Drosophila melanogaster: one gene and its partners. The protein of the gene in region 1 purifies or fractionates together with the protein of each later gene. This does not show direct contact. Each region holds a gene or a part of one and is shown in the gene's direction. Other genes may lie near its edges. The genes, in order: Git, pix, stnB and Pak.

Evidence for each region.
Region 2: the proteins of Git (region 1) and pix purify together in Drosophila melanogaster (affinity purification with western blotting, with the first as the bait; one study listed by BioGRID). This does not show direct contact.
Region 3: the proteins of Git (region 1) and stnB purify together in Drosophila melanogaster (affinity purification with western blotting, with the first as the bait; one study listed by BioGRID). This does not show direct contact.
Region 4: the proteins of Git (region 1) and Pak purify together in Drosophila melanogaster (affinity purification with western blotting, with the first as the bait; one study listed by BioGRID). This does not show direct contact.

Annotation. Positions count from the first base shown.
Region 1 is NT_033778.4:10,638,622-10,647,009, reverse strand, and holds Git (G protein-coupled receptor kinase interacting ArfGAP), read left to right. Parts: upstream 1-1,582; 5' UTR 1,583-1,672; intron 1,673-1,855; 5' UTR 1,856-1,879; coding exon 1,880-2,755; intron 2,756-3,047; coding exon 3,048-3,204; intron 3,205-3,267; coding exon 3,268-3,353; intron 3,354-3,415; coding exon 3,416-3,700; intron 3,701-4,073; coding exon 4,074-4,264; intron 4,265-4,336; coding exon 4,337-4,733; intron 4,734-4,795; coding exon 4,796-4,999; 3' UTR 5,000-5,192; downstream 5,193-8,388. Other genes in the region: Elp2 (elongator complex protein 2), read right to left, coding at 1-148, 204-987, 1,039-1,161; CG11883 (uncharacterized protein), read right to left, coding at 6,422-6,496, 6,561-6,656, 6,725-6,964, 7,028-7,542, 7,681-8,244, 8,298-8,384. UniProt on the Drosophila melanogaster protein: GTPase-activating protein for ADP ribosylation factor family members, including ARF1.
Region 2 is NT_037436.4:8,968,860-8,976,280, reverse strand, and holds pix (pixie), read left to right. Parts: upstream 1-1,515; 5' UTR 1,516-1,624; intron 1,625-1,863; exon of another isoform or gene 1,864-1,933; 5' UTR 1,934-1,934; coding exon 1,935-2,147; intron 2,148-2,209; coding exon 2,210-2,820; intron 2,821-2,879; coding exon 2,880-3,596; intron 3,597-3,653; coding exon 3,654-3,948; 3' UTR 3,949-4,225; downstream 4,226-7,421. Other genes in the region: Srp68 (signal recognition particle 68), read right to left, coding at 1-544, 607-956, 1,061-1,157; CG5026 (uncharacterized protein), read right to left, coding at 5,101-5,178, 5,235-5,332, 5,386-5,798, 5,858-6,333, 6,396-6,783, 6,854-7,104, 7,208-7,366. UniProt on the Drosophila melanogaster protein: Plays a role in translation initiation and quality control of translation. Together with pelo and HBS1, is required for 48S complex formation from 80S ribosomes and dissociation of vacant 80S ribosomes.
Region 3 is NC_004354.4:22,999,877-23,007,474, reverse strand, and holds the start of stnB (stoned B), read left to right. Parts: upstream 1-2,826; 5' UTR 2,827-2,925; intron 2,926-7,598. UniProt on the Drosophila melanogaster protein: Adapter protein involved in endocytic recycling of synaptic vesicles membranes.
Region 4 is NT_033777.3:6,347,998-6,355,407, forward strand, and holds the start of Pak (p21-activated kinase), read left to right. Parts: upstream 1-2,898; 5' UTR 2,899-3,354; intron 3,355-5,125; exon of another isoform or gene 5,126-5,542; intron 5,543-6,090; exon of another isoform or gene 6,091-6,253; intron 6,254-6,440; exon of another isoform or gene 6,441-6,598; intron 6,599-6,916; 5' UTR 6,917-7,023; coding exon 7,024-7,183; intron 7,184-7,268; coding exon 7,269-7,410. Other genes in the region: Hr83 (hormone receptor 83), read left to right, coding at 1,246-1,870, 2,304-2,515.

The DNA of each region.
Region 1 (8,388 bases):
TGTCCATCGCCGGAGAACTTTCCACCATAGAAGCCCACGGAGTTTCCACCCACTTCACCCACGCGAACTTCTTCCAACCAAATGCCTTCTTCCGTAGGTGCCCAAATTATGACGGTCTTGTCAATAGAAGCGGATAGAAGGCGGAGCTCTAAATGGATAACGTTTTTGAAAGGTCTTTGGGGAGTTCAATTGCTGTGCTTTACCTTGATCGGGTGTTTTGTGCCAGTGGACCCCATAAATCCATCCCTCATGTCCATATAGAACCGATTCCAAGCTCACTGCATACCAGGCTTCTTTCCCCAGTTGTAGTATCTTCTCCTCCACCTTTATCTCATCGTCGTTGTGGCTCAATTGATGCAGATCAACCCGATTCTCTTGCATTTGCTCTTTGCTGCGCGGCGCAATCCGCCAGAGACGAATAAAGTTATCCTGAGAGCCACTGGCCAGCAGCAAATCCTCGCCATCGACAACGAAATCCAGACCTCGAACCCAGTCTTCGTGGCCAGTGAGCTTGTGTTTGCGTTGGAACTGCCGACCTAGTGAATCTCCTTCACCTGCGGTTTCTACCTGTTCCGACCACAGGGAAACAGTCTCGTCATCGCCACTGAAGGCGAGCAGAACCTGGTTGCTCTTGGGCAGCAGCTGCAGTCGAAGACAGAAGCAGAATCCGTCGGATAAAGATATGGTTTGAAAGCACACATAATTATTATCCTGGAAAGTCCACAACTTGATGGTGGTATCTGCTGCTGCGGTCGCCAAAAGCCAGGAGCCATCCTGTTGGCGAATTCCATCCACAGTATTTACGCCACTTGTGTGTCCTTTGAGAGTGAAGCTCTTAGTCGTTCCCGTTTCATCCAGTTCCCAGAGAATAGCAATTGCATCATCTCCGCCGGAAAGAAGTTTGTCGCAATCCAACCACCTCACAGTGTTTACTCGCTTTGTGTGCTCCACCAGCGTGAACAGGACCTTGGCTGAGTTGCCTTGAAACTAAAAATTGGTTAAATATACTATGTTTCCAGTAAAGGCAAAATTTCCTACCTTTGGATCCATAATGGCTATGGCGTTACATGCCCCATAGGCAATCCAACCATTTGGACCCCAATCCGCGCATTCCGTGCAGCGGTTGCAGGCCACTGAAGTATGCAGATTCTCCACTTGCATGCTAATGTTGCACTTCTATTTTTTAATGACAACTAAATTCGAATTGAATGTCGGCGAAATTGTTTTGTTTTGGCACATGTGCTTCAAATAATGCAGTGCTTCTAAAACTGTCTCATCTGTTCATAAACATATGATTTCTAAGGGAGTGCAAGTGAGACAACTATATGTTGTGAAGAAGCTGGAATAGTGAGGCCAGCCGACAATATTGAAAAGTCTGGCAGGGCTAGTTACGAAAGTTACACCTGTTTGGTTTTTGATTTTTCGGTATTGCAGACCATTGCAAAATTTTGACCGAATAAATATTGCAACTTCTGTAATACTGGGTATATGATGGATTTTAAAATTTGAAAAGGCACAAACACAGCTGCTACATTCGTCAGCCTTTTCACTTCAAATCTAGCGCTTTTCCACTGCTACTGTTTGGTCACACTGGTGCGCAAAATAACTAAAACAAACTCGGAAAAGGCGTCCGCAAATGTTTTCTTCTGCTGCTCCCCGCGTTTAATTAAAAGTAATTTTCCTAATTGATGGCCAGGGGTGAGCCCCAGTTGCTGATATTTGACCTTTCACCGCCAGCGTTTCGGATTTCCAATCAGAAAGCCAACAGCTTGCAACTGACTCACAACGAAGTCACTTGAGATTGTCCGAGTTTTTTTTCAACTTCGGTATTCTATTTTTCGTATCTCCCCTGCAGCTTGTGAGCGTCTTGGAATGCTGAATGTGTTTCGCCAGCAGTATAATCGAAGCGCACAGGAAGTTATTTATAGCGCCGCCGGATTTGGATCATTCCGATCCAGCCACACCCACGATTTCGACCAGATCCAAAATGCCGAGGGGGAAATCCCGCCTGCAAACCGAAGTTTGTGGCGATTGCGGAGCTGGTGATCCATCCTGGGCGAGCATCAACCGGGGCATCCTTCTCTGCGCCGACTGCTGTTCGGTGCACCGCAGTCTGGGCAGGCACATCTCCATTGTGAAGTCTCTACGCCAGGGTAACTGGGAGCCCTCGGTTCTGAACTTTGTGAACTCTCTAAACGCCCATGGAGCCAATAGTGTTTGGGAGCATCATCTGCTGGATGGCAGCACCAACTCCACCGGCGGAAAGCACGTGCCACGCTGGCGGAAACCCACGCCCAAGGATGCACTCCATCCCACCAAATCCGATTTTATTAAGGCCAAGCATGTGAATCTAACGTTCGTGCTAAAACCCAGTCTCCAGGATGACGATGATGGCAATGGCTCAGCGGGCTGTCTGGAACAGGAGCTGAGTAGACAGCTCCATGCCAGCGTGCGGACCAGCAATCTAGAGACTTCACTGCGCTTCTTGGTCCAGGGTGCAGACCCAAATTACTACCACGAGGACAAGCTATCAACGCCACTTCACATGGCCGCCAAGTTTGGCCAGGCATCACAAATCGAGATGCTGCTCATCTATGGAGCCGATGTGAATGCCTTGGATGGCAATGGGATGACTCCTCTGGAACTGGCCAGGGCCAACAATCATAACACCATCGCCGAAAGACTGCTTGATGCCATGTACGATGTCACCGACAGGATCATTACCTTCCTAGGTGGCAAGAAGCCAGATCATGCGGTGAGTTTAGATCTTTAATTACCTGCAGAGTGAAATTATACTTTAATTGGACAAACCATTTAACCTTATCCATTGATTAATCATATATGTATTAAGCCAATTAAGCTATATCCTTGTAACTCCTTAAGTTGTCTTCAGTCTAAAGTTTATAACTATCTATTTAAATTTTTGTTAGTCACAGAACTATATTTATTTAATGGATTCATATTTCCATGAGCAAATGCACAGTTGACTCGACCTTTCCTACCCATTTCCTTATTCCGTTCTATTTAAATACTATTTCCATACGTAGAGTGGCCGCCACATGATTATTCCGGATGCCAATGGCGCGGACATAAGCGAGCAACTGAAGATTGCACGTGGAAAGTTGCAACTCGTGCCAAATAAGATGTTTGAGGAGCTGGTCATGGACCTATACGATGAGGTGGACAGACGCGAGTGCGAAGCCAGTGAGTATGACTGCTAAACATAGACTACAAACAAAGCTAATCTTATTTTTCTTAACGAAATAGTCTGGTCGACAAGCACCCTGAATGCTGATCATGCAACTGTGCCATTTTTGCCGGCTAATCCATTTTTGAGCGCCACGCGCAATCAGGTTTGACCTCGCCGTACATTAATGATTCGAACCTTCATTCATTGACATGGTCTCGCCTACAGGGTCGTCAGAAATTGGCACGCTTCAATCGCGCCGAGTTCACTGGTCTCTTGACCGACGTGCTCGTCGATGCTATGCGACGCCAGAATATGGCCAACCTGCGTCCAATGGATGCCCCAGTGGCCGGGCACCAGTCGCTGCAATCGCTGCCGTATGCCAACAACTCAATGCTGCTCGGCTCGTTCGAGCAGGGCGGTCATGATCCGAATCTGTCGGACGACGAGCCCATTTATGATCCGGTGGCCAGCGATGACGACTATGCCCCAGTGCCACCAATGGCCCAGCAGGTAAACCTAATGCGGCAAAAGATACTCAAGCTGAACAATAGCTTTGGCTAGAAGCGTAAGCGAAGACTGACATTTAGACAACCCGTGCTGTACCCATTGTGTTCATCCGTAGGCCAGGGCACTATAGCTCCCTGATTTTAGGCAACCTAATCCATTTTCAAAGGTAGAAGTCCAAATGTAGAACATAAGCCTCAATAAAACTAGCTGATACTTGTGAAAATGTAGTTTAAATAAGTAGTAGTTGGTACCGTGATTTGTCTGCCTTGCCTTTTGTTTTTATGCAATATTTATTTTTAAAGATTTTGTAATTATTAGTTGTACTTGATTTATATTGATTTATTTTCCTTGTTTTTATGCTTTTTATTTTACTTAGGCCATTGTGCATACGCCACCGCGCAGCGCGAATTCGCACAACGAAATGGAAACGCTGCGCAAACAGCTGAACGATTACAAATCGGAGATCAATCAGCTAAAGAACGTGGTGCAGATGCTGTCCAGCGAGAACACGCAGCTCAAGTCCAAGTTCTCGAGCGCATCGAACAACAGCGTGTACGATGAGCCACTGTGAGATTTTTCATTTGAATTTATTTGGCTAGCTTTATTTTTATGATTTGTTTTAAATTTTCCTTTGCATAGTCGCATTGATCTGAGCTTGAGCAGTCCGGATACAGAGCACGAGCCTCTGTCGCTACCCGAAGGTGGGACTGCCAATGGGGAAAGCGGCTCCTCCAATGATTCGTCAAATCAATCGACCATCAAGCGTCCAGCCAGCATGTACGAGCGTCGTTTGGTACCCAATGTGGCCAAGGGCAATACGGACATACGAAATACGACCAGCATGTACCAAATGGCTGGGGATGGCAAACCTTTTGGTGAGGAGGTCAAAGTGCGCTCTGACTTGGTCACACGCCGTCTTAAGGAGCTCATAAGAGCTATGCAGCCAGTGCCAGAGGATCAAAAGCAGTCGATTGCTCCACATGGAGAGCTTATACGAAGTGCCGTGACTGATTTAATTGCCCTTTATGCCAATTTGGTAAGATGAACATAGGGGCTTCCTTTATAAGGATGTTTCATAATCATAAACATATATTTTAGCCACCGAATGCCAGTGACCCGTCTCGCGAAACCCTTAAACTGCTAACCCGCCAGAACATTCTCATCCAGCACGAGTGCGAGAATCTGCAGAAAGCCATCGAGGCGGATGACAAGCAGGCCATACAGAAGAACACCTTGGAGGTGCGCGACTGCGCCTTCCACATTGCCAGTGCCATAAAGACTTTGGTGTTGCAGTTCTATTGAGACGCCCAAAACACAATCATCGACATAGAAGTTTAAACTCACTCACTCTTTTTTGAAGTATTAACCGACCACTTTAGTGCCCTGCTGACTAACAAAAGTGCTTCCGCCAAATAATTTAAAGAATCCCCTTTACATATAGTTTATGTATTTAATAAATGTTTACATAAATCAATGTACTTCGTTCAATATACACAAAATGCGTTCTTCTACGGGCTAATGACCCATTGCAAAATAGTTTAAAAGTGTTGAAGGATTGGCCCTCAAATTCAAAGGGGGGGAGACAAAGGAGGTGGAAAGATTTACGATATCTGTGTATATATATATATATTTATGGGTCCTTTATAATTTTAATAATCAGGTGCATTTTGAGCCTGTATATTGTTCACTTTAGTTAACTGTACGTTCTAAGCATGGACAATCAGTTAAGCATGGAGTACATATGTATAAGTGGCTTCCTCTACTTATTGTTTAACTTTGTGTAATTGAGTGGGTAGCTGCTGCCTTTGCTCTGGCTGTTTTTCTGACCTCCGGCTGGTGGTCGGATTGCTCGCCTATGGACAAAAATACACTCGTGGTGGTTGTGGTGTGCAAGTTCAAGGAACTATTTAAGATTAAAGCATTTATCCATGAGTGTTGCACGACTGTGCTCGCGGTCTCTAAAAAATAATATGCTCTGCCATGTTCGAAGCGCACCAAAAGTGTCCATAAAAATATACACATCCCATTTTGACATTCAAAATCTAGGTGCATTGTCTAAAATATTGCTTAACATTCACTTTACATCTGCTTGCCCCTTCAGTTTGCTACTCGTAGTCCTCCTCGTCGCGGTCCAGTGGTTTTCATTTGCTTGCGTACAACCTACAGTATTTGATTGTGTTCGTGGACTCGGGATTTTTTAAAAACAACTACTTGGAATATCTGAAGGTTTTTTCCCAAAAGCTCGGCTCAAACTCTTTTCGTTATCTAGATCACAAAACATAAGGGCTGCTCTGTAGTTACAGTAATAATAATCAGTTGGTTGTGTAAATCAGTTTATCTAATTAAAAGTAAATTAAACTAGCGGTAAGCTTTAGGTACACGTACTCACTACACATGCATCATATACAATATCAATATCAATATCTCTGGGGAAGTCTTACAAACGTTCACAACGAAACTTAGCCGAAAAAAACAGTGGAGCATTAACAATAAACGGTAATAATATAGGACACGATCCCACAGATCTGCCAACTATCTAACTAGCTAAATGGTTATATCTTCGCTTTGCTTTTGCCTAAACCGTACTCAAATGTTTCTCTCCACATCGGAACCTGTCCCTAAATCAATTTGTCTTATTTTCTTGTAACTAGAAAAAACGAAAAAGAAATAAAGAATACAATAAATTAAATGCAAATTGTAAATCAAATGACTTTTGGTAGTTCTTTACTCGTCCTCAGCTTCGGTGATTGTGGAATTCATTATGTGCGTCTCCTTTTTGAACAGTAACTGTCGATGATGCTGCGGGAATAAGGATTGCTTAGTGTCAATTGTTATATTAAATATACAGAATATTGTATATTACTTCTTCGTTTTGAATCATAACGATACGGTGCTCCAGTTGTGGCGCCAAATCGCATGTGGACTGCTCCAGGTCATCCAAGGACGCACGTCGTAACATCTTTAAGGGAGTAAATATTTCATTTCAGATATTTCATTTATATATAGTTATTATTCAATCGCGAATACCTTTTGAGAATTTCCATGTGTCAAATCCATCGACTTGTTGTGATGGCCCACGGACAATTTGCGAATGGGCGATGGTCCATCCAGATCCATACTATCCAGGCACTGCACCAGACTATGCCTCCGGGAAAGGGTCACCAGCGACTGGCGGTGCTTAGTGTTTTGTCCACACTTCCTCGAATTGATGGCCTTGAAATGGTTCTGCAGAGTTATTCCCAACTCCGGGCAAGCATCATCATCCATCTGCAATGGGGTAATAGTTGCTTGAAAACGAGAACTTTATGCAAATGAAAAGCCACGACTCACCAGCACAGTTGCATCCTTGAACATGGTGTAGCCATCACAGCCCATGAAGATATAACTCTTGACGCACAACTTGTATGATTGCTCCAGGTTAAGGTACTCATCGCCCACCTGGATAAGTTGCGGATCAATACGTTTGCCAGGCTCCGCCTGCGGATCGAAGGCGAAACTGATGCCCGACACCTGGGGGAACCTGCCCTCCAGCTTGGGATAGGCAGACACTCCGTTCTCCAGTGCTTGCCAGAGTATTTTACCCTTCACTTCGAGCAGGATTAGTGGGTCACGCATGGGAATAACGTTCACCAGATCGCCCATGGTAAAGGCACCCACCGGATGCACTCGATCCGAACGGAAGGTGCCACCATTCAGGATGACCACATCGGCGCCAACGGCGGCAAGCACCACGTCGCACACCCAGTTGCCCAGATTTGTTTCCTGGGTTCGTACGCGGGAAAAACGGCCATCCAATTCCACGCTAAAGACACCCATGACATCCGAAAGCTTGCTCTCGATGAACTCTGTAAGGAACAAGGAACTCGATTAGCTTGATTTAGTAATTTAAAATCTTAATCTTTCCTTCAAAAAGTAGCCTGCCGAAAATAAATTCCGTAAACAAAACTAAACTAAAACCCAAAAATGATGTTCTTTCCACCTACTGGCATATTTGGAGAGCTCCTGTTTCAGTTCCGGATCCTCCGGAATTTTGGCCGTCACATCGAAGCACTTGACGTCCGTTGTGAAATGTTCACGATTGGCGGCATCCCGCTCGATAGTGATGACGGAGAATTGCTGGAAGTCCGTGCCTGATTTGACAATCATTTTGCCATTGATTTCGGTGACCTCGCGGACGTGATCGTGACCACCGAGTATAATATCGATGCCGTTGCATTTCTCGGCCAGATTAATATCGTTGGGAGTACGCATGTGGGTAAGGGCAATGATGAGGTCACATCCCTCGTTTCTCAGCTCGCGGGCAAGCTTATTTCCCGCCTCCACGTAATCAATGTAGGTCACCTCATTCGGATCGATGGTGGGCAGAGTCTCCAACCATTCTCGCTCCACCAGTCCAATCAAGCCAATGGATATCTGATTGTGTAGTATGAAGTGCGAGATCTTGCCACCACCCAATGGACGACCGGTTTCATTGTCCACCACATTGGACATGAGCCAGGGGAATTCTGTCTGTTTGATCAGTTTGACCAGCACATCCAAGCCGTGATCTGGAGAGGATTATAAGTTAGAAAATGCCTTCTAAAACTCATCTTCTTCATACCAAAATCGTGGTTGCCAAAGACGGCACAGTGAGTTCCCACCGTATTGAGCACAGGAATCATCTGTTCTCCTTGGGTAAAGGTGCTCACTGC
Region 2 (7,421 bases), on another chromosome or scaffold:
GATCCTGTTTGATTTCGTCGCGAACGGCCTGGATGGCATCCTTGCAGTCCATCAAAATACGCTCAATCAATTCTATCTTGGCATCCTGCTTGGTGGTCTTGGCCAGCGACTTGTCCAACTCCTGAGCACTGAGCAGGAACAAACGCACCTTCTCCGGACGCACGGTGACCTTGCGACCGCGCCAGTCGATCGTCTGCAGGCCCTCGCTGCTCTCCGTCTTTGTCTGACTGACCAGTACGTCAAGATTCTCAAGCACTCCCTGAGCGCGCAGCTCCAGGATCTCGTCGATCTTGCCGCCACTGGCGCCACCGCTGATGTTGTAGGCGCAGTAGCGCAGATTGGGCGTAAATTCATTAACCTTAGCGCGGTAAAGCTCTTGTTCATCTTCGGGCAGAGCCTTGCCCAGGTTTTCGTACACCACTTGGGCGCGCTTTAGGTGCTCGCCAGCGGTTTTCCATAGCTGCAGCTCAAAGTGCAGGGTTCCGTGCATCCAGGCAACATAGGCTTCGCACTCTAGCTTAGTGCGCGCATCGAAAGCCTCCGTCTACAAGAAAATTATAAATGAAGCTCAATAAACATTAATCATAACAGTGAGTTACAGCTTACATTACACAACTCCTGGAGCTGGAGGGCATAGAAACAGGCCCTGCGCAGCTTGTTGACCAGATGGAAACGCTTTCGCGGCTCCGTATTGGACTCCTGCTTGAGCTGCATGGCATACGCCCAGGCCCGCTCGGCGCAGATCAATGGGATGTGGATGAAACGCTCGTCCGCCTTCTTGCCTGTCAATTGGCCAATGGTCACGTCGCGTCTTTTGAAGTGCCGCTTGTCGCCCTGGGGGTACTTCAGGGCCTTCCTCAATCGACGGATGCGGCGGCTGCAGTATCCGCGGTACCTCTGGAAGTCGCCGTGGCGCAGGCCGTGTTGTTGCTGGGCATCCTTAATCATGTGCAGAACTGCAGCAGGAGTGAAAGTTCAGGGCATTAGCATTAAATTTTAGGTTAAATGGTTGGGCGTCTGGGCCACCTGGCAGTTGGCTGTAGGCGATTGGGGCACTTACTCTCCACCGTGAAGATCTTGGAGGGCTCTGCCACCGGAGCAGTCTCCGTCTTTTCCTGAACGTCCCCAGTATTTGGATTATCTTCTTGCACGACCATTTTCTTAGCAGTCGACACAAATCAACGACGTGTAAAAATTAGTGATTGCAATTCCAATGGGATTGTCAAAAACACTAAATAATCGATATTATTAAGAGCGGCTCTTGTGCGATATATATTTATATTTATTTATAGGATATATTATCAGTTCGGAAATTACATGTTCCTATATTGAGAGATAGAAGTTATAAATTTTATTTGATTGTCACTAAGCTTACTTTAAATAAAATCCCTGAAACATTATAAAACTTATGTTATGTAAAAATAACTGCACAAAACAATAAATAATTATAAACATGCTATACGAAATTCAAGCCCACTTATTGATATCGATAGTTTCAACGGCGCATCCCTATTCGTAGTAGTGTTGAGAAACTCATCAAAGCTCCCCCCTTTTGAAACTTGTTGGCTGACACGCAAGAGCGTGCGTTCTGTCTGTTTTACAACAATTTCGGCCAAGTTCGCAGGTAAATTTCAAATATTTCAGCACTCTGTCAACGTGAAATTTAAGAACAATGCCTGACGCATGAGAGACAATAGAAATTTATGGTGGAAACCCATTGTTTTGGCCACGCTTTGAGGTTATACTTTCACTCACTGACAAACGCTGGCACCTCACCCCCGCTCTTGTGTCCATGAATCGGTGCACCAGTTTTGTTTTGACGGTCGGGGATGGTGATTTGCAACGTTGACAATGGACTGATTATCATATAGGCGGCTGATTAGTGGATCGAAGCCAATTCTGTTTAATTTGCTCATTTGAAAACTATCAACAGCATGTCGCGCAGAAAGGAGAACGAGGAGGTGGACAAGCAGACGCGTATTGCCATCGTCAGCGATGACAAGTGCAAGCCCAAACGGTGTCGGCAGGAGTGCAAGAAGACCTGCCCAGTGGTGCGCATGGGCAAGCTCTGCATCGAGGTGACGCCCACGTCCAAGATAGCCTCGTTGTCCGAGGAGCTGTGCATCGGTTGCGGTATTTGCGTCAAGGTGGGTCAGCTTACCTACAACTGCTGTAGTTCCCGGAATAACCCGTGCTTTCAATTCCCCAGAAATGCCCCTTCGAGGCCATCACAATCATCAACTTGCCCAGCAATCTGGAGAAGCACACAACGCATCGATACAGCAAGAACTCCTTCAAGCTGCATCGTCTGCCCATTCCGCGTCCCGGTGAAGTGCTCGGTCTTGTGGGACAGAACGGTATTGGCAAGTCGACCGCTTTGAAGATCCTCGCGGGGAAACAAAAGCCGAACCTGGGGAAGTACGCCAATCCGCCCGACTGGACGGAGATCCTTAGCTACTTCCGCGGCTCCGAGCTGCAGAACTACTTCACCAAGATCTTGGAGGACAATCTGAAGGCGCTGGTCAAGCCGCAGTATGTGGATCAGATCCCCAAGGCGGTGCGTGGCGCTGTGGGCGATCTTCTGGATAAGAAGGACGAGAGGGAGCTGCAGACTAAGATTTGTGAAATGCTGGATCTATCGCACATCCGTGATCGTGAGATCGCTCAGCTTTCTGGCGGAGAACTGCAACGCTTTGCCATCGCCATGGTATGCATACAGAATGCAGACATCTTCATGTTCGACGAGCCGTCCTCGTATTTGGATGTTAAGCAGCGTCTGAACGCTGCCTTGACCATTCGATCACTCCTGCATCCCACCAAGTAAGTTGATGAATAATGTGCCATTGTTTAAAATTATGACGTGGTTCTGTAATATGCAGGTTTATTATTGTGGTGGAGCACGATTTGTCTGTGCTGGATTACTTGTCTGACTTTATATGCTGCCTTTACGGAGTTCCCGGCTGCTACGGTGTGGTTACTATGCCTTTCTCTGTGCGCGAAGGCATCAACATTTTCCTCGATGGCTTTGTGCCCACCGAAAACATGCGATTCCGCACTGAGTCACTTACTTTCAAAGTATCTGAGTCCGCTACGGAGGAGGAGATCAAGCGCATGAACCACTACGTATATCCCGCCATGGTCAAGACCCTGGGCAAGTTCGAGTTGACGGTGGAAAAGGGTCACTTCAGCGACTCCGAGATCCTGGTGCTCCTGGGCGAGAACGGTACAGGAAAGACGACGTTCATTCGCATGCTGGCCGGTAACCTCCAACCCGATGGCGAGGTGGAACTGCCTATGCTGAATATTTCCTACAAGCCCCAGAAGATTTCCCCGAAATTCCAAAATCATGTTCGCCATTTATTGCACGATAAGATTCGTGACGCCTACGTGCATCCTCAGTTTATTGCCGATGTTATGAAACCCATGAAAATTGAGGAAATCATGGACCAGGAGGTGCAGAACCTTTCCGGTGGTGAGTTGCAGCGAGTCGCCTTGGTCCTGTGTCTTGGCAAGCCAGCGGATGTCTACCTCATCGACGAACCCTCTGCCTACTTGGATTCAGAGCAGCGTCTGGTGGCCGCCAAGGTTATCAAACGGTATGTTTTACATAGACTTTAAATCTGCACACAAATATTGATGGTATCTCGTTTTAGTTACATTCTGCACGCCAAGAAAACTGGATTTGTGGTGGAGCACGATTTCATCATGGCCACCTACCTCGCCGACCGTGTCATCGTGATCGAGGGTCAGCCTTCAGTGAAGACGACAGCCTTTTCGCCGCAGTCGCTGCTAAATGGCATGAACCGCTTCCTCGAACTGCTTGGTATTACGTTCCGTCGCGATCCCAACAACTTCAGACCCCGCATTAACAAAAACAATTCGGTCAAGGACACAGAACAGAAACGCTCCGGCCAGTTCTTCTTCTTGGAGGACGAAGCCTGCAACTAAGACAGGATCACGGGCAACTTCGATGGGACAGCTCGTTTCTCTATGTTCTCCTCAGCTTTCCTTCGTTCATTTTGCATTCTTTCGTTGAAGAACACATTTGCTTTCAAATTAATTTGTTATTGTTGTCGAGGATTGCGTACAATCGAAAATTGGGGATTAATTGTACTTGATTAAAGTGAGTTTTATATACGTTTTTACAGCGAAATAAATAGTGAACCGAAACAACAGAATGTTGTTTTAAATGAGTCTAGCAAAAATAAACCAATTTTCTTTATACAAAACTGCATTTGAAAGTTCTTTTTTCTAAAGTGGTGCTCATAGAATCCTGCGAGTTTAAAAGAGCTAACGTTTGCAAATTAACACGTATTTATTGCACTTAAGCGATAATTACTCAAAATACGCACAATACAAATGTAAATTACATACAAATTTCTGTCATTTCAAATTTGATCACAATACGAAATCGACGCACAATGAATAACAGCTACAAACATTTATAAGTATATAATTTACAATATTTGTTTTTAGATATACCAACGCATGCACAGCATATTTTTAATGTAAACGCTTTTGAAGCTTTAAATTTATGCGATTTAATCAAATTTACATACAATTTTTCGAAAAAGGCAAATCTTTTGAGTTTATAATACTTAATTTGATCTGTGGCTTGTTGACCACTAAATAACTGACACAAGTAAGTACTATAAATAGGTAATTTTGGAGACTTATACGCTAAAAATTCCATAAAAGTAAATGCGTCAAAAATTGACCCAAATATTTGATAGTTGCATTGTGCTGTTTCGAATCCCAATCTGAGTCTGAGAGTAGAGAGCGTTTTACAAGGAGAGTTTTCTTACTGTTTTGCCGAACTTATGCAATAGAAGTATAGTTAGTAAAAATGGACACATGTATGTCTAAAATTGAGTGTTTCAGTTGATCCAAAAGCAGATCCTATGGTTTATCCAATAATTTAATTACCTTGTTTATTTTCTTTTTCCTTCAGCATAATTTCTTGTAAATGGAACTTTTAGTGACTTAACATTAGTTTTGCTATGTGCTTAAATAATTGTCGAAATCTTGCAACAGAACGTATCAAAAATAAGTGTATATCATGCAGGAGATTAAAAGATAGAGAACATTTGAGGTAGCCGACTATGTATCGTTTCCACTTTTCATGAGGTTGGACACTTCCTGGCCGAGCTCCATGGCTTGTTTGCGCAACTTGAGGGCCTGAAAGATACATGTCATCAGTAAGCATTTCGCTATCAATACTCAAGTGGACTTACCTGAGTCCTGAGTTCCTTCTCGCGGGTGACAAGTTCCTGAATTTGCGACATGACTGTGACTGAGCTGCGTTGATCTATCACCCACCGCAAATAGAGATCTAAAATGCATGTTTGATGAGTAATGTTTCATATATTAAGTTCTTAAACATACCACTCCACAGCTCTAAGCTTATGGGCGCCACCGATGGCCATATCACATTGGCATTAGGCTCGTACAGCGGATTCAAGAATGTCTGAAGGACATCAGGCCGGTTCAAATAAGACCACAGGCTCGTCGTCCTGGTGTGCACATTCAGTTCGTTTCTCTCCCGCTCTGAATCGCACAGGAAAGTTCCATACTGCGAAAAGTGACTGTGCTCAAATAGAAGGATCAGCAGTTGAGTGCTGAATTCAAAGCTGCAGGGGAACTGCGTGTAAAGCTGATAAATGCAATCCAGAAATAGGACGAAGGTGGCACCAGAGGTCTTATTGCGTGTCTGATTTGGTGTATAGCATGAGTAGCGATGACGCGAGGCGAACGGATGTCCCGCCTGGATCCACTCGCGCTCTATCAAAGCCTGCAGGCTGCAAAGGGAACACGGCATAAATATCTTTTTCAAGGTAAGGAGAATATGATTACTTACCCCCTTACAGTCCGGCAGTCCGGATTGAGAATGATCTGCACCAGTGAGGTGACTATAAGCGTGGAGTCCAACCCCTTAGCACCGTGCACTAACACTGGACTTCCCTCTTGGTCCAGGCATTGGGCCACCACACAGGAGGCGTTCAGTGAGTTCAGCACAAGACTAAGCCAGCCGCTGTTCTCCAGTCGCGATAGCCATTTATCAGTACTGCATCCCAAATCGTTGCAAGCTTCGATAAGCCGAGCAAAGCTGTCCAAAATAGAGGCGGGCGAACTGACGTTTCCAATTGAACGATTTACCTTCTTCCACTGCGAGTAGTGCAGGTCAGTTTCCGTATTCGATTTGCCCTTACCCCAAGTGTCCACGATGAACCCCTTCCGACTGCGACCCAGCACCAGATTAAGGATAGCCTCGTCAGCTCTACAGCGCTTGATGCCCTGAATGGACAGCGGCTGGGAGCTGCGCATTAGTGTGGCCTGCAAATATGAATCATTGAATTAATTTAATAAAATTTGATGATGTAGATGCAATGACTTACGCCATTTTCATGCCTGTAGCTGAGCACGGGGAAGCGGCCGCCATCGCGGAACGCAGCGGAGAGCACTATCTGCTCGTCCGTAATTGCTTTAGGTACAATTAGCGTGGCGCCATATGTGGCACAGACGCTGAAGTCTCTGTTGACGTTGGTGATGCGCCACTCGCAGGAGGCCTGGGGACTTTGAAGCGCACCACCTCCCACACCACCAACACCACACGCAAGGGCTTCTATCGCATAGCCATTTTGCAGAGGATGGGGAATGCCGGCGCCCACAGTCAACGTCGATGTCGAAGTTGATGGCATGCAAATTGTTATGTTGGCCACATTCGGCGAGGACGCACCGCCCATGCCAACCCCGCTTATGAGTTTGGCGAACTCCAGCTCGGGCCTGTCGTTTGGATGGGGAGGTTAATTGAATTGTAGCCAATTTGTTAGTTATGGAGAAGCCGTGTACCCACCTAAACATCGTGTAGCCGTCCTCTAGGATCGAGTACATGGGCCGGTAGAAGAATGGATAGAGCAGTTCGGTGTTCTGGATGGCACTGAGTGCCTCCAGCGATGCGGCCACGTTGAAGAACTCCTTGCCGCACTTTATCTCCAACGAAATGATGCGCAGGTCCTTGCACTTCAGGGTGATAATCCCACCGACCACGATATTCTGCGACAAACTAGGCTTCTTCTCCACACAGTCGATGTTCTTGTGGAGCAACTGAAAAGAGGGGGATGAGCATGATGAATTTCTAATTCAATTATGAGCGCTCCACTGATGCCGAAGCACATCGGATTAGGTGGGCAGGCCTCAACCCACTTACCCATAGCTCCTGGCTGGTTTCCTGGCGGGCGCTGAGCAGCAAATGGTGCCCTGTGATGCACAGTGTGCCAACTGTTGCACCCGACGCCCCCGCATTCGATGGGTCGTGCAGCAGGACACCGTCCAGCTTGGGGGTCTTTATAAGGTCGGCGAATTCCATGGTGTCGCCCTCGGCGGGGTGTCCGATTTGATTTGGCCCCCACTAATTAACTTTT
Region 3 (7,598 bases), on another chromosome or scaffold:
TTAATTTCTTACTTATTTAAATTGCCAAATTTTAAAACTGAGCTTATTTTTTATAATTCCTAGCTTAGGTAGCTAACATGAAATTCGTAAAACTACTTATCTAAAAACCGACTCGTCGCTGGGGCAATCTGAATAGCACTTAGCTCTAAAATATGCTACAACCGCTCACAGGTTGTGATTCAATTGAGTATTTTGAAGTGTTGAGTAAACCCAGTTCAATTTGGGGAATAGGTTCGTTCGTTCGTTTAAAATCAATGAACTAGGTCGTTCATTTAGTTCAATCGTTCATTTTTTAAGCTTGCTTAAAGGTGCTTCACAATAAATGTTATGAGTTTATCTCATACAATGCTGACATTAAAATTTATGTCAAAAACAGTTATACATAATAATAATAAGTAATAAATAACAAAGAGTTTACAACTATATTGAACTAAGTGAACTATAAAGACAGACCTAGTTCGTTCGTTCAGTTTGGGGAATAGTTAAATTTAGTTCGTTCGTTCACGAACGACACAACACTAGTGAATACTGTGTTGCAATGCACTGTGGTCCAGAATTCGATTTTTTTGGCATAAAGTCTAAAAATTGAGCTACAGACTTGAAACTTTGTACATTTTGTTGTTAAATCCCAAATAGTTTGCCCACAATATTTGTGCGACCACGCCCTCTCTTGCCTCCCCCACATTAACAACTGGTATGACTCAGGGTCAACGAAATTTTATTGTTTTTTTTTTTTTTAATAAAAGTGTGTATTGTATGTGTGTAGTATTGTTTTAAAAATAATCGCCCTCTTCTTCTTCTAGTTCTACATAATAAATAAAGTATGACAGAAGTTAAAAATAAAGATTGATCAGAAATTGGTGTGCCAAGTGCTTCAGTTTCAAATTTCTGCTTGTAAGCACTATGACCAGTTGTCCCATCAAATCTGTAGCTGCAAATTAATTTGATTATAAAGATATCTGGAAATTGCTTGAAAACATCAGATTGCAACTTAATTAATTTTTGCGCTGTATGATCCAAGAGATTTGTAATAGCACTTGAGCATTACATCTGTACCCTCTGGTCGGCACTGCAATTTTGCTTCGATCACTTCATTATAGGTGTTTCTGGTGTTATCTGGTGTTTTTAAAGTTTCTTTAAGAACAAAGGCAACGTCCCTTTTGCATTTCTAGCAGAAACAGTTGCTGCATGAATCAAAAGACTTGTGTCGTGATCACTTTTACTTGCCCGATTGGATGCTAGTTTCCTTTTTAATCTTTCTCCTGCATTTTGCTAAGATAAGTTTCGGCGTCCCATTTAAATCCAATTTAACAAGAATTGTTATCTTAGACGCCATCCATTTGGTATGTTTGGAAATAAATCGGTCTAGTTGTCTGTTACACTCGGGCAGTTTTCTTTTAATAAATAATTCAAAATGTACTATTTTTTTTCAATCTCTTGCGGAATAAACGTAATCTGAACCATACATTTATTTGCCTATTGTTACGCCTCCAAATGTCCAGGAGGTCGCTATGTCTGAACTTTAACTTGCCTATATAAAATGTAATTTTAAGAAAACGAGCAAAAATGAGAAAAATATATTACTTTACCGTCAAAGATAATAGTTAAAGGTACAAACTGACGTTTTTAATTTTTTTCAGAAAATTAGTTATACTCCACGAAACACAGGGGACACGTTAGTATTCTCTGTTAAAATACACATAAATTGACTGTTACACAACACAAAAACAGTGCAACTACACATATATTAACTACATACGTTAAAAACAACATACCTTGGCATTTATTTTCCATATTTTATTATAATTTATAATATAACATTTTAAATTTATAATTTATATATATTATAATTATAATTTATAATAATAATAATAATAATAATTTATGGATGCGTATTAACGATCGTACCACGTGCAAAAGTAAGCAAATAATTTGGCGGGAATTGCATTCTCTCAATCAGCTGCTTAACACTTTTTTTTTAGCAAATCGATAGAAATTTAAAATTATAAAAAAAAATTTCGAAAAATGATTAAAAAATGTGGGTATTTCATACTTTTAAACGAATCTAGTATACCCTTTTACTTGACGAGTAACGGGTATAATACGTTTTTTTTAATGTTGGTGCTGAGAGGGTTAGGTTAATTTAAACATTATGCGATTATTTGAATATGAACGAAATATCACGTGTCGTCCATAATATTTTCAGGGCTGAAATATGTTTAGGATACGCATGCGTCAGAAATCAAGACTTAATAAAATGCCTAGTGTCATATGACAGTGACGCAGATGACAGCGCTTCTCTTTATATCCGTTACTTGTAAAGTAAAAGGGTATACTAGACTTGTTGAAAGGTATGTAGCAGGCAGAAGGAAGCGTTTCCTAACATATAAACTATATAACAATAGCCACTTCGATCTGTTCCTGTCCGTCTCACTATTTTCAGCAATTATTGGTTATTTTCTGTTTTATTATATTTTCCCAATTTTTACCAATATTCCAAAAAATATTTGAATTTCTCGTTTCCACTTCCAGTTGAGTAAAGGGTATCTGATAATTGGGGAACCGGACTATAGAATCCTCTCTTGTTTAAGTCTTTCTTTTGCAGAGCTTTGAAGCTTTTAGAGCAGAAAAATCACACAGGGATAAAAAATACCATAAAAAAGGGTAATGTCAGCTGTGGAAGGAAACTTCCTTAAGTACAGTGCTTTTCAGAGCTTTATGTAGCTTTTAAAGGATATACCGTTGGTGCGCCGTACCGCTGTTTCTCCTCTGCTGACGTCGCAGCTTACGAAAAGCACTTCCTACGGAATTTCACGACATTTAATTCATTCTGTTCTAGATTTCCCGATAGTTCAAATCAGAGGTAAAGACCCCGAACCGAATCAAAACGAAAAACTAAAGTCCTCTGAAAACAAACAACGCTAGGTACTTGTGTTAGCTCTTTGCTTATTTTAAAGTATATGCCAAAATATTATCTTCGAAAACAAGTGAGAGAAATGTGTTTTTTTTTTTCGTACAATGATAATTGTATGCACAAGAGTGAGACGTAAGTTGCATAATTTCCTGAAGGAAAACTTCGGAAATTCAGCTGCGTACATTTTTTCGAAGTGGGGATAGGCATACATATAAAAGTTACAGTTCTTTGGGCTCCTTCCTGTACCCATAAATATATAATTGTAGAGCTTAACTTTTCTATGTGCCGCGCGTGTGTAAGTGTCCAAGTGTGTGTGACTTGTAGTGCGGGGGAGCTGTCTCTTTTGCACGAATCCGTCGTCTCTAGAGCATCGATTTTTCCAACCAACTCTCATTAGAAAGGAGAAGAAACAGAAAGAAAAACTAAGAAGAATATATATTGTAAAATAATATATTGTAAGATCAAAAAATACTCGAGCGATATGCCAAGTGACATGTGTGCGAAAATAAAAGCTATTTAAGCTTTGGCAAGGAAGTGCGTCAACAAATGATATTTTAATGTGACGTTCAGGCTAGATTAAATAAAAATGAGCAAACCAATTTTTATTTGTACCTATTATTCAACATGGATAGAATTTTGCCTTATTGTATGTATTATGATATGAAATCAATTTTTCATAGAGATCCTTAGGTTTTAGATGCTTACAAGGGGTCTAAATCCATTTTTTATTGTTAAAGTTTTATTGTACATGTAATCCTGTTCAAAAGTCGGTATTCTATAATACCTACTTTTGCATTAATATTCTGAAAGATGTAACCTAAACCGCATGAAAACCGTTTTGAAAAATGTATTAAATGGTACGTAATCAGCGAACCAAATTAACGTTCTTTAAACAAGACAAGTGATTAGCAAAAATAAACAGCTAAAATGTTAAAATTTGTGCTTAAAACGTAATAAATTCGCACTGTCCTAAGTGCAAATAATTGGTATAAACAATGTGTCTGAATATAAATGTTGCCTATTGTAAAATCCCAAATGAGAAGACTTTACTCGTTGAGTTTTTGTAAGAAACTAATTTTATTTGGAAATATCTTCGGTTTAAATAGGTGACATGAGAATCGCATCTTAAAGTAAATGGCCTACGCAGAGGCCTAAGTAAATAGTCCCCGCCTTATCGAGGTCCCACGCTCGGGCACATCTGCCTATCTTGAGCGGCGAGGACCTTATCTGTGGTCTCCCACTAAGGGACTATTTTAGGAGGCGGGGAACGATCTCAAGTGACTGACTCATGTAGTGTGCACTTAAATTACATGTTTTTGAGCAATGCACCCATGTCGCCTTAGATAACAAAATCCTAAATATAATTTATCGCTCTCGATTCATTTACATAAGATATGAACGGAGCCCAAAATTGTAAGTCTTTAAATATATTCGTGTTCATGTGTGAACATTCTGCCAAAGGGCCAGCAAGCTGAGATGTACATTAGTATATTAGTTGCATTTATAACAGTAGTGGACTGTATTTATTTGATATATGTTCATTTATTTTGCAACTAAGATTTCAATGGGCCTAGTTTTTCTGGCTTTTAATTTTATTGGATTACAATTATGGTTTATATTATTTTTAATTCAACAATTTGTACTCAATTAACTTATTTTAAACATTTTGCTTTTTCTATGTAGAAGTACATTTTCTATTAAACAACGATATAGTGGACTGTATATTTTTATTTGTTATATTATTTTATTGTTTATTTACTATTGATATTTATAGTACTGGCAACGGACCTGCAAAGGTTATTGCTTGCATTCTTTGTTGCACAGCACATTTCCGTATGAAATATATTATTAATACTATCATTAGTATTAAAGCAATAATTAATCCAGCATGTCCGGAAATATGATGGAAATGTAAATCTTTCAATTTTTGATGGTTCTCTTTCATAAATTTAATTTCATTATTCAATCGTTCAAATTCCTCAGTATGATTTAATATTGATAGTTTCAGCGGATCCCAAATAATCTTCGGCGCTTCACTAACTTCTCCTATATAAGGTGTTGATAATAATTCTTCACTTTCGGACTGAATGTTATGGTGGGCAACTAGAATTTTATCGTCGGTTCTTGCCGTACAATATGGCGCAATGCTTAAAACTCCTTGCTGAGGCAAATCAAACAATTCAATTTGAGAGCCAGTACATTGCAGACGGACTTTTGAATTCGCAGGAACCTTAAACAACCAACTACTTTTCTTTTCTAACTCTACCCAGTAACTTTTAGAGTCGACTACTGTTTTATAGATGCAGTTCGCCGCTTTATCTGGCTTTAGAGGCTGAATCTCACATGCATTATCATTCGCTGAATTCCAGGGCCAACTTCCTTTGCATATTCTCTTATTTAGTTGCCATTTCTGACATTGATTTAATGTGGCTTCCGTCATTATGTGATAGGAATCTATCTCAAAATTATAAATTAAATATTCGGACGTTGTATGCACCATTATTATCCGATCTTCATTTCGAATTGGCACCGGAATAAGCCTGAACAATTTGGATGGATGCCTGCTAAACAGAGGCACTTTTGCACTAATGATCAATTTATCGTCGATGAATAAACCCCTGGCTGTTAACAGTGTATACACCTCCTTAAGTTCCGTACCTGACCGTTTTCCTGGAATTACTAGGTTCTCCGAAAGACTCTGCTGAATTTTGGCAATTTCTTTTTTAAGCTGATTTGGCCTGAGAATATTTGTATTTAGCCTACCGTGATTAATATCAATCAACAGGCTTATAATGCCTGCTTGAATTTTTTCGCCTTCTTCAATCAATGAGTGTAGCTGTTTCGTAATCATAAAGAATTTTATTGATTCCTTATAAACATAATAATTTTCTTTAAGAACTTCTGTCATGTTCTCAATTCTTATTTGCATACTTCTAAAATTGGAGTTAACATCTTCTGTTGTTCTCTTTAATAGATTAGAAGTTGAATCAACCACAGATGTTTGTTTTTGAATTAGTTTATCAAGGTTGTTCTGGTTATCTAACAAATTCTTCATATTTTCTTCTAATTGCTCTCTATCATCTTCATCCATTATACCAAATAAAATATGATACAAGGAACCCATAAATTCGAAAGGAGCACGCTTGCTTCTAGATCTAGACTGTATCATAAACAATTTATTGTTTTCTTCAAGTTCCGATAACTGACTTTGCATATTATCTAAGACTAGACTACATTGCTCTTCAAAGCTATGAAGTCTTTCGCAAACTTTCCTCATACTTTGTATAAGCGCATTACCCTTTGTTAACATTTTAAAATATGGATCCATTTTATAATAGATAACCAAATTCCAAGAAGTACTCACAATCTCAACATCTCCTAGCGGGTCTAGATATATTGCTGAGGTTTTATTTATTTTGTCTATAGAATATCTTGGTGCTATATCTTTAGGTAATGCGCTAGAAACTTGACAACTTAACACAAACAACAACATTGCCATAATGATTCCGATCTTGGACATTCCCGATGTCGCTCTAGTTCGTCTTTTTGGCTCTTGGTCAGCCTCATTTTTGTCAACAGACTTTATTCCTTCCAAGGGACAAATTTTAGTAATGGGTCTAGTGATATATCCTTCCTGCATTTTTACTTTAGCCACTCGGACCTTATCATCATTCCCCTTATGCACCTTTTCCACCTTTCCTAAAGGCCATCTTGCAGGATGACAATTCTCATCCTTTAATAAAACTATTTGCCCTTCTTCTATATTAGGAATTTCCTTTTTCCATTTATTCCTTTGCTGGAGCGTATGCAAATATTCACTTTTCCACTTAACCCAGAAATCTTTCTTCATTTTTTGGATAAGTCTCCACCTATCCAAATTTCCGATTTTTTCATCTTCCATTGGTTCGACTATTTCTAAAGGTGGTCTTCCAATTAAAAAATGACCTGGTGTTAAAACTTCTTGTTGGTCCTTCTCACTAACTATAGTGTATAATGGCCTTGAATTTAAGCATGCTTCTATTTGACATAAAAGAGTTGACATTTCTTCGTAAGTCAAAATAGTGTCGCCGATTATACGCTTTAAATGGTATTTCATTGACTTAACTCCAGCTTCCCAAATACCTCCGAAGTGAGGTCCTGCCGGGGGAATAAAATGCCAATCAATCCTGTCCTTTTCAAGCTGCGCTGCAATCGTTATATTTTCTTGTATTGCATTAAATAACTCTTGATCTAATTTTCTTGCAGCTCCTACAAAATTTGTTCCGTAAGTGACTGTGGTTAATTTATATGTTTTAATTTTTTCTTTTGGAGAATTTCTCCATAAAATATATTGATATTTTTGATCATTATTATCTATTTTAATTTGTCGGTACATCTTTTCAATGTCTGCCGAAACAACAAATTCCCATTTTCTCCATTTAATAATAATGTCAAAAATATCTTTTTGAACTCGTGGCCCAACCCACATTATGTCGTTCAAACTTTTGTTATTCGTAGTTTTTGCTGAAGCATCAAAAACTACTCTCAATTTGGTCGTAAGGCTTGAATCTCTAATCACTGCCTGGTGCGGTAAAAAATATTTGCCTTCATCACTCACTTCAATCATGTGTCCTAAATCCATGTATTCATTCATGAATTTAGTGTAGTCAACCTTAAGTTTTTCATTTCTTTTTAGTTTTTTCTC
Region 4 (7,410 bases), on another chromosome or scaffold:
GCGTTTGTTAAATAGTCCCATATCCTTAAAGACTTTGATGTTCTTCAACATCATTGGAATGACCCTAATTTAATCTTTCATTTACTGATGGACTAAATCGAATATAGACTAGATTAGTAAAAAATGCCCAATGTCCTGTCATCCGAGCAACCTCTCTTTTTATGGGCTTGCTTTTAAGAAGATTTTTAGACCAACGTGAGCTAGTAACTGGCTAGGAATGAACCTATTGAAAGGAGTATGGAAGGAATTAGTCACTGACACTGACTAATACAAGTACTTGCATTACAGTACTTTCCAGGCCTGAAATGGTTGGCTAAGGCAAGTTTGAGATCATTCGATTGACTAATGCAATCTTCCACCCGCTCCCAATTGTTTATCAGTGTATATCACCGACGAAGAGATCTAAGCCGTTCTATGACTGAACTCATTATTTAATATATCCCTCTGTTTAAGATGTGATTCGCCTATTAACCTAGAATTAGGTAAAAGTTGCGACTTAAAACAAACGTCTAATTAAACAGTTCGAGAATTTCCGGAATAAGAACTTCTCTAAGCCCAACCCCCAAAGAACGTCTTCGCTGTTTGCCCGAAATGTCAGGACAAAAGGACCTCAACGCGGACACCTCGAGTGGCGAGCGCACGTCCAATCACAGAGCAAAACAATAATTGTTTACAAATTGTTAACACGGTCCGCAATAGTAGTAGATGATTGTCACTTTTGACGCGCCACGCCCCCTGCCAGGGGCGTCTCGGGCAAATAAAAATCCTCAAATCACGCTTTGGCACAAGGCCCTACTACACTGGGAGAAATCTATATCAAATTTTTTTGGATTTATATCTTAACTTGACTACGACTAAATATTTAAATACGAGATTGATATATAACAAAAACTTATCGTATACCGATACTGTTTAATTTTTATCAAACTATATATATTTCTTACACAAATATCTTAATTATTTTAAAAGGTTTCTGGTGCTTGCATTCTAGTTTTGAAAGTCCTAAGTTTGAATAAAATATATTTTAGTGATATTTCGCTTTTAGGAATTTGTTCTTTGGATCCCATTGAAATACAATTTCCATCTCTAGTTAGGAAACATATTTTTGCTCTGTGTAACTGGTTTGCATATCATTTGCGGGTGTAGCACATCCAGGTGGCATATAAAACCGCCAATATCCGGGATGAGCTGATTCAGTCCGCGGCGACTCTTTGGCTCATTGGCAAGCAGTGCCAACCGGTGACCATGTCGAACTTCAGTGCCTGCGCAGTGTGCGGCGATCAGAGCTCCGGGAAGCACTACGGCGTGTCCTGCTGCGATGGGTGCTCCTGCTTTTTCAAGCGGAGCGTGCGGCGCGGGAGCAGCTACGCCTGCATCGCTCTGGTCGGGAACTGTGTGGTGGACAAGGCGCGGCGGAACTGGTGTCCCTCCTGCCGCTTCCAGCGATGCCTGGCCGTGGGAATGAACGCTGCTGCGGTTCAGGAGGAGCGCGGTCCGCGCAACCAGCAGGTGGCTCTCTACCGCACTGGCCGGAGACAAGCTCCGCCATCTCAGGCGGCGCCATCCCCGACGCCCCACTCCCAGGCGCTGCACTTCCAGATCCTCGCCCAGATCCTTGTCACGTGCCTGCGCCAGGCGAAGGCCAACGAGCAGTTCGCTCTGTTGGATCGCTGCCAACAAGACGCCATCTTTCAGGTGGTGTGGAGCGAGATCTTCGTCCTGCGAGCGTCCCACTGGTCTCTGGACATCAGCGCCATGATCGACGGCTGCGGCGATGAGCAGCTCAAACGGCTCATTTGCGAGGCCCACCAGCTAAGGGCCGACGTCCTGGAACTCAACTTTATGGAGTCCCTAATCCTGTGCAGAAAAGGTAAAGCTCCGCCTGTGCGGTAAAAAGGCTTGTTAGGATTTAAAAATAAAAGCGGTTTGAAGCCATCTAACCAATTTTCAATGTTTTTACACATATTGACGTGATTTCTTAGACGAAAATTTAAATCCTATGTACGCTATGTATAGATTTTGCTATTTGATTCTGCATGAAAGAGTACACCCAAGCAGTTTTCTTAACCCCAGAAAAAACGTTTCCGTTTTGGGCTTAATAAATTCAAAAGAAAATTTTCCAGCATGTGCAGTTGGTTTGTTTGAACCAACCATAAAATTTGATTAGATTCAAGATTAGAGACAGATTTAAGACCTTTTACATCGTTTTAATTTAATTAAGAGTTTAATAGGAAGTCAAACCACCATTAGTATATCCCATTTTAATACTTTTAATTGCTTATATCGATTGCATGTTTTTACAGAATTGGCCATCAATGCGGAGTATGCCGTTATCCTGGGAAGCCACTCTAAAGCCGCCCTGATCTCCTTAGCCCGCTACACCCTGCAGCAATCCAACTACCTGCGGTTCGGACAACTGCTCCTTGGTCTGAGGCAGCTGTGCCTGAGGCGCTTCGACTGCGCGCTTTCTTGTATGTTTCGCAGCGTGGTCAGGGACATCTTAAAAACACTTTAGGCTCATATCTATCTTCATCTTTCAAAATTAAAGAAAAACCTAGTCTTAAAGAGGGTACTAGATAATGGCTGTTTTTCTGTTCGCCAGTTCAAACATCTAAAGTAACTTCGCTATCTGAAGTTTCAACCCATATCTAAAAATGCATTCATTTCTGTCAACAATCGTTCATGGAGGCATTTAGACACGCCCCAAACTTTATTGGCACTATGCAATTTGTTGGAAATAAAAATATTTGGAACAAAGAGATTATTATGAACTCAAAATTTGATGTGGTATTTTTTGAAAAACACTTTTTCAAAGGTCGCCAATCACAATACAAAAAACTCATCGATATGTTGTGAAAAGTCACGGAGCGAATATATTCGTTTCTGTTCGCTATCGATATATTGATATATTTTTGCCATCGCTACATTGTCTGCTGCGGCCGTCTTGTCGTCTTTCTGTAATTATTTTTCGTAGTTAACAAACCCCTGAATAATGTAAACCAATTAGTGGGTGATGCAAGGACCGAAAATGCGCGCGCGTTGCTAAAGAAGCTAGAAAGCGAGAAAGTTTGCGGAGCGCCATAAGATTGCTGCGCTTTAACTGCTGCTGGTGCCTCTCGTCCGTCGGCCATTTATGACACACACCAGAGAAAACTGGAAAACAATACAGTGTGTGTGCGGTTTGGAGTGTGTGCGAGTGCGGCCAAGTGTTGTGGGCTCGGAAAACTCCAAGAAGCCAGTGGAGAAGTGGTGTCCACGCGAATCCGTGAATCGCAAGCGTTTCTTCTTCGACTGCAAGCGGCGTACAGGGTGCACCGTGCAAAAGAAAGGCAGCCAAGGCATATTGTACTTGCAGTGAGTTCAAGTGGAGAGTGGTGGCCGAGTGGAGCGGGTAGAATGGTCTTGTGGAGAGCGGGGCGAGGGAGTTTCATTCATAAAAAGAGAGTGCACCGTTAGTCCAATTGGTCTGGCTTCCAATGCACAGACAAGCACACACACACCGCCTAAGGAGAGGTTGCACACATTGATTTTTCCAACTCACGTGTGTGTGTGTGCGTGTATGTGGATTAAAGGAAAACGTTTCAAGTGGTTTCCACGCCACATTATTTTGGATTAGCACATTGCTGCTCCCGAATTTCCAGCCCAAAAATAAAGCAACCAAATGTCAACAAGCTGGAATGCCCCAATGCCCCTTCCCCCGCTATTAACACACGTGACACGATACAAGACATTTACATAAAGCTCTAATAACTAACAACATTTCGCAGTCGATTTGGCATTTAACAGTTACCGCTCTAACGGCACATGTCCAGTGCGCCAGTGCACCACCCCCTTCCTTCGTTCAACGAAAAACATATTTGCTTAGCACGGTCACAGGTAAAAGCGGAAGGGACAGGGACGCGCGGAAGCGGTCGCGGTAGGGAACTGAAAAGAGGAATATAAAAGGCATAACATTTCCGCCTGCTGCTTTCGGCTGGCGTCCGCAACCAAAATAGACAACGTCGGAGCGGCTGAGAGTCTCCGTCGCCAGCAGTTATGCGTGGCAACTCGCTAAATATGCACCGACCATAATCATCGTATCATTTTTAATGCTTACATTTTGTATATTGATACTAAGATAACTTACTTAAAGTCTTCGGACAGCAGAAGGTGATCTTCGTCATGTTTTGGCTTCATATTTATACAGCAATCCTCGGAAAAATTGCGTAAAATGAATTCCATGAATAAATTCTTAAGTTTAGTTTTAATAGAAAGTTAACATAAAGCAGTCGTCAAAGTAATCAAGAAGCTTGATCACAAACTTTGGCTCCGCGTAAACGTGGCGAAGAAGTATGCATATGTTTGTGGCTTCTTTCAGCTCTTGGAGCGAGCGCCACGTTTGCGTCGCTGTTGTTGCAACATGCACCTAGGCCTGCGTCACTTTGAATGTCCTACCCTCCTCCCTTCCGCTCCCCTGCGTTTGACAACCCCTGTCGCTAATTTAAATGCCGCAAGTGTTGTCGAGTTTCCTGTGCCTACAATGTGTGTTTTTCTCATTAGGGAATAATTTTGCATGGGCCCCTGCAGAAAGAAAAACATTTTTTATCGATTTTACCTAAAGTTCGACCGTCAATGAAATCAAACACAATGCGGTACATCGTTAACCCAGTTCTGGGCGCCCACACGCTCCCGAAAAGTTTGTTCTTGCTTGATTTAAAAACGAATTTTCACCTATGTGTGTATGTTTGCATGCATATTATATGTACATACATATATACGTTTATAGATCTCTGGGCAAGCAGCCAGTAAACCAACGTATGCCCATAAAGCCTATAGTACAGATATACAGTTGCGGTCAAGAATATATCACACAGCAAGTTTACTACTTTCTATTTGTCGATACTCCTTTACTTTTTATCTTAAATTCAGTATGTATCGACATACATACATATGTAATTGAAATCAACGAGCGTATCTATTGAGTAAACAATCTACTTACATCGGTGAATTTAAAAACAATTAGCAAGAAAACATTGCACTTGATAAATTGGGGTAGAAAGGTAATGTCGGAATGAACCGCATGACACATAATGATTTGGGTATTTTATCCTATGATTCTCTTATATACTTATGTACACATATATGTACATATATTGGTCACTAAGAACCCTTTTTTCTGATGATTCAAAAGTTGGAGTTGATATCTTATTAGATCCCCGCTATGCTATTAAGTTGACCACAGCTGTTGGAACTGTATGTTAATGTTTGTCCAACGTTTTCACACTTCGCCACCCCCTCGTCCCAGACTCTCCGCCTCCCGTTAGCTGCATTGACTCTTGACGCCTGACGATGATAAATGAATCATAAAAGCAGCGCAGTCGACGTCGCCGGCAAAGCAGACAGGCGCCAAAGCCGCCTTGCTCTCCTCGCCACTCTGCGCTCCCACTCCTTTTCGCCCTCTCGCTCATATGTTTGGCTGCGATGCCGCCCACTCGAGTGTGTTTATGTTGTTGCTGTCCTCGCTGCTTAATTTCCTCATTTGTGTTGCTGTAATTCCCAATGCGTGAGCTGCTTTGTTTTTATTATGAGTGCAATCGAAGCCACTCTTGTTATCGCAACGAATTTTTTATGGCTCTCGATCGTTTACGTGGGCGAGAGCGGAGCAACTGAGGTAGAGAGGATACCCTTAAAGTGTGTTGTGTGAGAACAGTGGTTTGCGTCTAATGGAAACTGAAATTAAAATATAGTCCTTTAATGATTATTCCATTTTGGGTCATATTTTTTAACTCCATATGCTCTATAGGTGCTCCAATGAATATTTAAAATAAATGAACTAAAAGTGAATAGATGTGGGTATACAATTATGATCAATGCACACTTAACTTAAATAGGATAATATTTTAAGTTCCTCACATAGATGCGCAATAATTGCTGAATTGAAATGTATAGTCTCAACTAATTTATAAAATTAGCTTCGGAGAGTATACAAAATTCGAATACCCATATCAATCAGCTTTTAAGCAATGTAGGGGAGGCACTCTCGCGAGCTGGGGTGCTCGAGACAATCTCTTGGAGCGATGTATGTTGTTTGTTGCCTTTTGCAGCCTGCTCTAGTGGCAGTGACACTCGAAGGTGGGAGACACGCTGACGGAACAACTGAGCAGCGGGCCCACAGTCCGAATTAGTTCGCCGGACGGCCTATATTGATAAATTTATAACTGCGGCTATATGTCTCCTCTCCTGCTGCAGCCAACCAGTGTGTGTGTGTGTGTGTGTAGGTGTTGTGTTTTTGAACATATTCAAAAAGCAAAACAAAGTGCTTTCCGCGTGCCAAAAAATCTAGAGCACACAGTATTGACGTGATCTTCATGAAGATCGGTAAAAAAAAAATAATAATCAAAAGCCAAAAATGAATAACTTTGTGCAGAATGGTGTGAAACACACAACGCCAAAGTGTTCGAGAAAAATATATGCAAACAATCTATCTCTTGTAGTTGTATGACAAATTTGTGATTTTGTAGAAGCATATGACGCGATTGCAATACGTTGGGGAAAGAATACAGAACGAAATATATACTAAGATAAGCTGCGGAACACTTTTCGCGATAGATAACAGAAGGTTGGCACCCCTGGAATACTCCAAGCATTAAATCATTTCTGCACTGTTCCCAATTTCGAACTGTGTTGATGAAATCACCAGTTTCTAAATAATTTGCTTTAGAAAACATCTAGCACATATTACATTTAAAATTATATGTTCTTCTTGGAAAAAGCACTTATTTAAAAAATGTATAGTCTTTCTTAGTAATATAAGAATTGAAAATATATCAATGATACAAAATCGTTAAGATAGTTGTCTCATATTTAGTACATTTTAGTTAAGGCGAAATACTTAGTTATGGCCAACATACTGATCCCTTTCTCCCACTCTCGACAGCTGTTTTCTGGGCGTAGAACAGCTGTGCATAACGGGGCGCTAGACGAAGCGGAGGAGGAGGAAGCAGGAGCTAACCAGAAGAGCCAGAAGCACACAAAGACGAATCCATGTCCAGCGAGGAAGACAAACCGCCGGCGCCGCCTGTGCGTCTCACCAGCAACCGGGGCGGCAATGAACGATCGGGAGGAGGAGTGGGCGTCGGTGGCGGAGGACTGGGAGGTGGCGGTATGGGAGATGTACCGCCCGACATGCGTCCGCTGCCCAAGGGTGAGTACATTTCGATTAGTTGAGCACGGCATGTGAAGACCTCTGGTCCGCTTAACAATGTGCTTTTTTCTCTTCTCCCAAAAAGAACCCGACGACTCCGATCGGAAGAAGAAAACGCTGAAGAGCAAGATCAAAGGATCGAAGCCCTCGCACACGGACTCCAAGCCGAACATCTCCTATCCCACGAACTTTGAGCACACGGTCCATGTGGGATTCGATGCTGTCAC